Linked DNA regions of Mus musculus. The protein of the gene in region 1 interacts with the protein of each later gene in a pairwise test. Links are inferred from orthologs where the notes say so. Each region holds a gene or a part of one and is shown on either strand. Other genes may lie near its edges. The genes, in order: Tfap2a and Gsto2.

The links.
Region 2: the proteins of Tfap2a (region 1) and Gsto2 interact in binary tests that used the Homo sapiens proteins (3 or more experiments, as listed by UniProt). The two-hybrid records come from large-scale screens. The link is inferred for Mus musculus from reciprocal best matches to the Homo sapiens genes TFAP2A and GSTO2.

What each region holds. Positions count from the first base shown.
Region 1 is NC_000079.6:40,720,201-40,724,013, forward strand, and holds part of Tfap2a (transcription factor AP-2-alpha), read right to left. Parts: intron 3,123-3,813; coding exon 2,891-3,122; intron 1,188-2,890; coding exon 1,069-1,187; intron 1-1,068.
Region 2 is NC_000085.6:47,864,197-47,868,674, reverse strand, and holds the start of Gsto2 (glutathione S-transferase omega-2), read right to left. Parts: upstream 2,882-4,478; 5' UTR 2,746-2,881; intron 1-2,745. Other genes in the region: Gsto1 (glutathione S-transferase omega-1), read right to left, coding at 4,225-4,378. UniProt on the Homo sapiens protein: Exhibits glutathione-dependent thiol transferase activity. Has high dehydroascorbate reductase activity and may contribute to the recycling of ascorbic acid. Participates in the biotransformation of inorganic arsenic and reduces monomethylarsonic acid (MMA).

The DNA.
Region 1 (3,813 bases):
ACCTTCAACACCATTTAACACCCAGAAATCCTAGAATGCCTTCTCAAAAACATTGTTTCCAATGTTCTCGAGAAACTTTCAGATTCTTAGATTCCATGGCAATATCTCCCTCGATGCACTATGCAAATAAATTATGCCTCATTAAAACATAAGTGGCTAGCTTTAAATCTGCCTGGTAATAAATCTCCATCTTCTTATTTTTCTATTAATGTGAGATATAACAAGACACAAAGGAGAGCTATTCCCTGATTCCCAACCTTAAATGAACTGAGTATCAGAAGAAGTTGGGAATCTAGGAAGCAGGATGGTGAGTGAGCAGATTCTGGTGACAGCTTTTGGGTAGCTGGCCAGGGTGGCTTTTTGTCTTAAGGACTTTGAAGGGTGGGTGTGTGTGTACTAAAGGGGAGGCGGGGGGGGGGGGGAGCCGGAGTAAAAAACTCTTTTACAATTTGTCTGTTTCTTCTTCTCTTTCTGTATCAAACAATCCAGATTCTAGAATTGCTCACTTTCTGCCCCTCCTGGAGAGAAGACACACAATGGAAACAAGAGGTAGGAAGTATATGGCTGGAAACCAACAACCCACAAGGGCTTTTAACCCTGAGCTTTTGGGACAGTCTTAAAGCAGGATGCAGGTCAGAGATTCCCAAATTCATTCAGGAAGTAATGGTCACGCATTTCTCAAATGCAGATGTCAGAATAACTTAAGTGATTTACTGCTGAGTTCTTTCCAGGAGACAGGAACTTGGGGAATGTGTAGTTCTTAAATTTGTTCACTGTTTAGGTCAGGTTTGAGCTGAGGGTAGGGTGACTCTGCCAGACAGAGGAAGAAGAACATATAGGCACGAGTCTATACAAATAGGCTTTGGATCTTTTGTTTTATTTTGTTTTGTTTCTTGTTTTTTTCCTTGGCATCCCAAATTCTTTTCAATTCCCAGTTACATTCCATGGAAAAGTGAAGCCACCCAAAGGACACAAAACACACTCAAACATCTGGCTACTAAATATTATCCACCCCACCCCACCCCCAAGTTGACAGTTCCCTTCCAGATAGCAAGCAGATCTGTTTACCTTCCACTAGTGACGTGAGGAGGGTAACGTTGGCAGCTTTACGTCTCCCTGCTGGCAGATTCAATCCTATCTTGTCCAGTTTTTCTCTTAAAGATCTCCCTCCATTCTTAGACTTCGCTCTGTTTCAGAAACATGGGAGGCAGGGGTGTTAAAAAGATTGATTTTTCTCTTGTCACATCAGAGTCATTCTGAACACTTTCTAAAATGTGTTCTTAAAAACTGAGGGTCATGGTTCCAAGGCAGGAAAAGAGAGAGCAAGAAGGAACTATATAGAAAGATCATGGAAGATGAAAGGCATAGTTGTCATTGCAACTATTGTGGCAGGTTGGGAACTTTCCATTTTCACACACACACACACACACACACACACACACAGTTCTGATTGCAAGAGTTGGAGGTATTCCTGAGTTCCACTGATAACTGTGTTGCTTTCCCTGTTGCTATAATCCCAGCAAAGCCCAGTGGGGTCTTTAAATTGTCTTCACAAGATCTGCTGTTAGGTTGTTCCCAGTGACCAAAGTTATCATCGCGCTCTCATTTCATGTCCTGGCTTTGATCCCAATGGGAAATGCACCTTGCCAAGTGTTTACATGCCATGTCAGGAGCATAACTGGAAATGTCAAGAGGCTGATGGCTGATATCAGCCTTCAAAATTTTTCCCTGATTTCAGAAACAATGGAGTCACTTCTAAATAGATGTCTAAATAGACTCCCATAATCAGAAAGTGGTTAAGATAAATTGTTTAAATAAAACAGCAAATTAATTAATTTCAGATTTTATTCCCTACTCAAGTGGGTCTTTAATTGTGTGGATTAGATTATACTCCCATAGGTGAGCAGTCTCCGATATTGGGGATGGGGGGAGGGGAGGAAAAAGCAGAGGGCAGAGAAAGATCTGTGACAGTAAAAGATAACTAAGGAAAGCCGCTGGTATTAACTCTGCAAAAACCCTCTTAGAGTATGTAGGTGGGCCATACCCACCAAGGCCCAACTGAGAGTTATTAATATACAGGAATAAAGTTAGACAACGAATTACAGGTCTTTTGTAGAGAGGAGAGTAAGAGACATACTCTTTGGCCAAATTTAATACTAGGCCTACAACTCACACCATTGGATAGATCCCTAAGAACACACCTGGCTCTGAAACTTTTCTCTCTTTAGACTCTACCTCCCTGGCCCTTGTGAAAAACAGGACTCACTCACTTCAGAGAGGTGAGACTCCTGTGTTAATGGATGCGACTACATATAATGAACAGAAACCTGTCACACATCACAGCAAATCAGAACGTCAAAAGAACACCCCCCCCCCCCCCCCCCCCGTACAGAGACTGGAGTGGAGGTAGAGGTTCCTTATGGCAGGAAGTGCCAGCAACCAGGGATGGGAGGCACGCAGCAAGCAGAAGTCACTCTCTTTCTTTACTTGAAAACCTGTCTGTTAAATCTCCACTCAAGACCCTACAGTGTAGTAAGGCAAAGCAAGGAGCCCGGAAGCTTTTCTGAGCTTGTAACCTGTGCGCAACCAGGGAAAAGGCAGCAGCACGGCGCCCCACGGCTGCCAAGGCTGGGACTGAGCCCCAGACGTAGAAAACTGCGCCTGCGTGCTGCAGAAAGCGGAGTTCCCGAGTGCGCAGGCGCGTTGCCTCACACCCCACCCCCGCCTTCAGCCACGCCCACAAAGCGCCACTCTTTTCTCTCCGCCCCTTTCACGTCGCGCGTGCAGTACAGCTACCGGCCCAGCGCAGGCGCACTGGGGCCGGGTTCCCGGGGTGGAGCGGGGCGGGGCGGGGCCGGGTGGGGCGGGGCGGGGCCGGTCCGAGCCTCACCTCCGCAGTACTCCGCCCAGGAGCGACGCGTTAAGACACTCGGGCGGTGAGAGGCGCCGCTGTACTTCCGCCACCGTGACCTTGTACTTCGAGGTGGAGCTGAGGAGCGACAGGCGACCCGGAACTGAACAGAAGACTTCGTTGGGGTTTACCACGCCACCGAAGAGGTTGTCCTTGTTAATAGGGATGGCGGAGACAGCATTGCTGTTGGACTTGGACAGGGACACGGGGCCTGCGAAGACAGATGCGGGCGCGTGTGGGGGGCGGACCGACCGAGCGCTGCTCAGCTCAGGAATCCCGAGGCGGCATCCTGCCCTGACCCTTGCAGCAAGCTGTCTAGAGATGGCTGATGCTGTCGCGACCCCCTAGGCTCTCAAAGGGCTCCGAAGTGATGCAGGAGCTTGGGTTTAGGGAGGCAACGAATGGGTTTTATGTGTAAACCCGAGACAGGGTTGGTGTAGTGGGGGTTTTGCTGGCGAAAGGCTCAGTGCCAAAAGAAATTGCTGTTAAAACCAGCAGACAGTTTCGATTGCTGCAGCAGCCAGTAAATGAACATTTCAGTAAGCTAGCAAGTGGTGGATTCTGTTATCACACACTACACGTCCGTCCTTTCATCAATAGACCCTTATGTTCCATTTAAAAGACACTCGGGCTTTGGAGATCATTCCAAGCCCGTGAACAGGACTCAAGAATAGGCCTACAGTTGAACATTAGGAATGCATCCTTTTGTTGAGCAAATACTAAATGAACCCTGTCTGTCTAAGCCCCTTCAAAGGGATGGGGGTTAGGATATATAATCAGTTAAAACCATAAGCTCTTCATTGTTGGATCTACCATTGTTAGAAAACAAATTCAAGACCATCAGAACAAGGGGTTCATTTCTTAACACATGAAATTCAGATGCACCTACAACCGTTTAAGTT
Region 2 (4,478 bases), on another chromosome or scaffold:
TTGTTTAAGATGACAACCACCAGTGTGTATATGATGGTTTTGACTATGGAGTGAAATTGTGCGGAGTTCTATCTCAGTGACCCTCAAAATTAAAGAGAAATACTAATGAGTAAGAAGGCATTTTTATAGCATGATGCCTTCCCATTCTGCACCCATGAAGAGACACACATTGCAATTCAGCTTGCCGGGCATATGAGAATTAGAATCTAACTCACCACACTATTTCCCCCGTTAACAGTTTAATGCTGGCTGAGTGTGCTGAATGCTTCAGGCTACATTTCAGTAATGTGATTTTTTTTAATCTCTCGAAAGATCACAACAGTTTTCCCAGAAGGATTTTAATCATGACCTTTAAGCTTGTTCTCTGCTTCCTCTTAAAATTTCAGTAGGTAACTCCTAAGTGGTTTTTTTTTTTTTGCAAATGTTCCATCTATGCTATCCCGTGTTTGCATCTCTGTTATATTGACCAACTCAAGCACAAAACAATTTTAATAAGGTCATGGAAATCTATTAGAAATAATTTTTCAGACATCTGAAATATAATCATATCCACTGTTTCTCTGTGTGTGAAGGTACACACACACACACAGACACACACACACAGACACTCAAGGTGTGAGCTTGGATGGCAGAGGCCAGAGGTCTTTTGAGATGGGGGTCTCACCTTCTTACCTGGAACTTGCTGATTCGGTTGAGCTGGCCCCAAAGCCCCAGAAACCCACCTCAGCTTCCTCCATGGCACTGGGATTACAAACCCGGGCCACCACACCAGGTCTTGTTTGTGCGTCTGGGGTTGGAAGTCAGGTTCTTGTGTTTGTTCAACAAGCACTTTACCCACTAAGTCATCTCCCCAGTCCCTGAGCTGCTTTTCTAAAAATAGAGGAATCTCTGGTCATGGTGATTAATGATGTATGTATTTACAGAATGGAAATAATTTCTTCACTCGATTTCAGTTTGTTTTAAGGAAAGGGGGGCCTTTCTTTCTTCCTTTGTCTTTTTTTTTTTTTTTTAATGTAATTCTGGCTGTCCTGGAACTTACTCTGTAGACCAGGCTGGCCTCAAACTTAGAGACCCACCTGCCTCTGCCTCTGCCTCCCAAGTGCTGGAATTAAATGTGTGCACTTTTATGCCAGCTTGAGTTGTTTGTTTGTTTGTTTGTTTGTTTGTTTGTTCGGCTTAAAAAAACCTTTTGGTCACAAGTCTAATATTAGCAGATGCTAGATTATGATTGTATTTGTCTCTTTGAATGCCCACTTGACATGAAAGATCACATTACTGGGTGTCCACTATTGTTCACTGAACTCCTTGGGCCAGATGAGGGAAAGGGTTCTACTCTCACAGCTGCCTTTATTCAGGGCTTGCAAGGAGCAAGGACCATAGGGAAGCTCATGTCCCAATGGCGTTAACGTTGGGACATATGAAATGAGGTGACTGAAGTGACCACAGGAGGACCTTCCCATCCAGGTCAGGAAAACTGGGTCAGAGGAGACCTTCTTTTAAAGTGCTTGTTTTCTTATCCCTGTGTCTTTAATGACATGTGTGACACATTTATACACCCTGATAATAATATTTGAATAGTCAAAAAGCAAAATTTCAAGAGTCTGACATCAAAGTTTGTAAACGCGTGCAAAAGCAGCAACATCGCCTGCCGAAACCAAACCATGATAGGGATAGGACAGGGACGTGCCCAGAATTATTGCCAGGACCTTTTTTGGATATCAAGTTCCACGGATGCTCAACAACTTTATATAAAATGGCGAAGCATTTGCAACTCACCTACCCACACACTCCTAGACACATCAAACCACCTCTAGATGACTTAGAATAGCCAACACAAGGTAAACGTTGTTACACTGCATTGCTTAGGGGATACTGACATGAGAAGTCTGAATATACTCAGTTCGGATGTAATTTTTCTTTTCTAGTCTAATTAAATTGGAATGATGTGGAATCCATTGATAACAGATGATATTATTCTGTCTTGGCTTAATCTCTAAATGTAAGAGCTCTTAGGAAAAGGAACTTTATAGATATATAAACTTATCTAAAGAGCAGTCTTTTTTACAACAAACATAGGCTACATTTGAATCGCTCCACCTTTTAGTAGCTGGGTTACTTTGGGCTAATAATCAAAAGCTCCAACAACCCTGATTTTCTAACACACTGGCGTTCTAATCTGTAATGCGGAGGTAAGAGTACCATGTGGTTTAGGGAAGTGTTATTAGGATCAGTATGGCAAGCATCTAATACTTAGCATGTGTCTGTCATCTAGCAAGGACTTAACATTAGCTGTTATTGTGATTACTATTATTTGAACGTAGCAGGGACGATTTTCGTAGCCTTCAAAAGACAGGCAGTCTCAGAAACGAAATTCTCCTGCCTGTCTGTGTCATCAACTAGTTAAGCCGAACTGAGGTACGAAACTCCAGATCTGTGGAACTCTGCGTGCCTGTCTTCGTCCAAACTGGAAAATTAATTTCAATGACAGGTTTCTGGCTTAAAGAAAACTCAATAATCTAAAACTATTGACTATTCTTTCTTCCTTACGATTTCTTTACCCTATTGCTATATTCTAGGCTCCCTTACACATTTTTAGTGAAATTTTTTATAAAAAGAAAAAGAAAGAAACATTAGCTATGGTTAAACATTTGGGTTTTCTTTTAAAATGTAACTGCAAAATTAAAAGTTGGCGATCCTATTCTGAAAAGCCCAGATTTTACAAGTCCCCCAAAGTTCAGAATTGACCTCAAAATCCTTTTCCCTTCCGACACAGCGCAGGTGAGGCCGAACCCCCCAGTGGCGGTGGCAGAAAAAGCATCTCAGAGCAACCTTCGGGCGGCTATGGCTCCAACCCGGAGTTGGGACGCCCGGCGGCCGACGCGGAGGCGGGCCCGCCCCTTCTCACGGTGCTACCCCGCAATTGGCCGCCGAGCCCTGCGCTCCAGCCAATACCTGGCTCGTCTGGAAGAGCGAGCCAATAGGCGACCGCGTTATAGCAGCTTGCTCGAGAAACGAGGGTCAGGCCGGAAATCTATGGCTACCTAAAGAGGAAGTCGGTAGCAGGCGGTTCCTCTCAGCCGCTGGTCTCACATCCTACTGGGAATCCGCGAGGAACCGCCAGGGCCTGCCCGGGGGCTGGGGGCCGGCGGCACAGATGGCTCCGCTCGGAGTAGGACGCTAGTTGTCCCGTTTGTGAAGTCAGCCAATCCCTGCCTCCCCAGGGTGCGGGCCCCCCATCACCGTGAAGCTAAACCCTAAATGCGGCGCTGAGCTTTGCCAGTTTTGGCGCCCTTAACGAATCACCCCCGTGGTTGTCGCAGGCAAGCCAGAAAACAACTACAGAAAACCTGGCGGTCGGTGGGTTGCCATTCTTAAGGGCATTCATTGTCCTCCAGATCCTTCTGCCAACATCTTAAGACCTCACTTAACATCTGGACCAGACTCACCATCCCTAGAATGGAGTGAGGTTCCCAGACTACCTGTCTTATGGAAGTGATAGAAGTATTAAGATTAACCTTTCCCATTGGGAGATTTCATCCATTACTTATTCAGTCTTATATACTGAACTGGCTAGTGTGATTTTAACGGTATTGCATGTGGCACACCTATAGAAGACAGAACTATATCTGCCTTGTTTGGAAGGAAGGATTTGAAAGGGCTAGAAGTAGGAGCTAGTGAGATCGTTTGGTGGTTGTTTGCTGCTCTTCCAGAAGGGAGATTCGTTTCCTATCACCCCACAGCCTCTGCCGGTATCACCAGCTCCAAGGGATCCCGTGCACGCACACACACACACACACACACACACATTTTTTAAGAAATTAGGAACTGAGAGCTCAAGCAAGAGGCTACCCCAGTCATGTTGACCTGAGGTGGTTTGGACTCAGTTTTCGATGCTCACAAGAGGAATAAGAGATTTAATGATGGAAAGTATGGGGAAATCACAGTTTTCAGACATGAGTAATCAAAAACTTGACATTTTTCTTGATATCCAAATCTAGATGTCTGTATCAAACCAGAGGTGATGGCCTTGGGGATGGCAGTGAAGACTGTTAGGACCATTAGATCAGATTGTTCTGAAATAGAAATACAGGAGTGGGGCCCTGGGGGGCACCGCTTAGGCCAGAAGGTCAAATTATGAGAAAGGAGCCAGTGAGAATACTGGACAAAATAAGCATGATATTCAATCAGTGAGGGGAAACAGCATTTGCTGAGGGCTCTTGCCCTTCAGAGCCCATAATCACAGGCCTCGGGGCTGTCCTGTAGGTAGAGATTTAAGTACTCGCGGTAGGTCTTGGCATCAATTTTGTGAGAGGATGCCACAGGGTCTTGCTGCATGGCCGCCATCCAGAGCTTGAGCTTGGGGGTGTGGGCTAGACACCTGTGGGAAGACAAGATGAGAGCTGTGAGCCACAGGAGCTAGACCGGCATCCCAGAGTCTCACCCACCACTGCAGTCTATCCCCCTAAACTCTTAAAAAT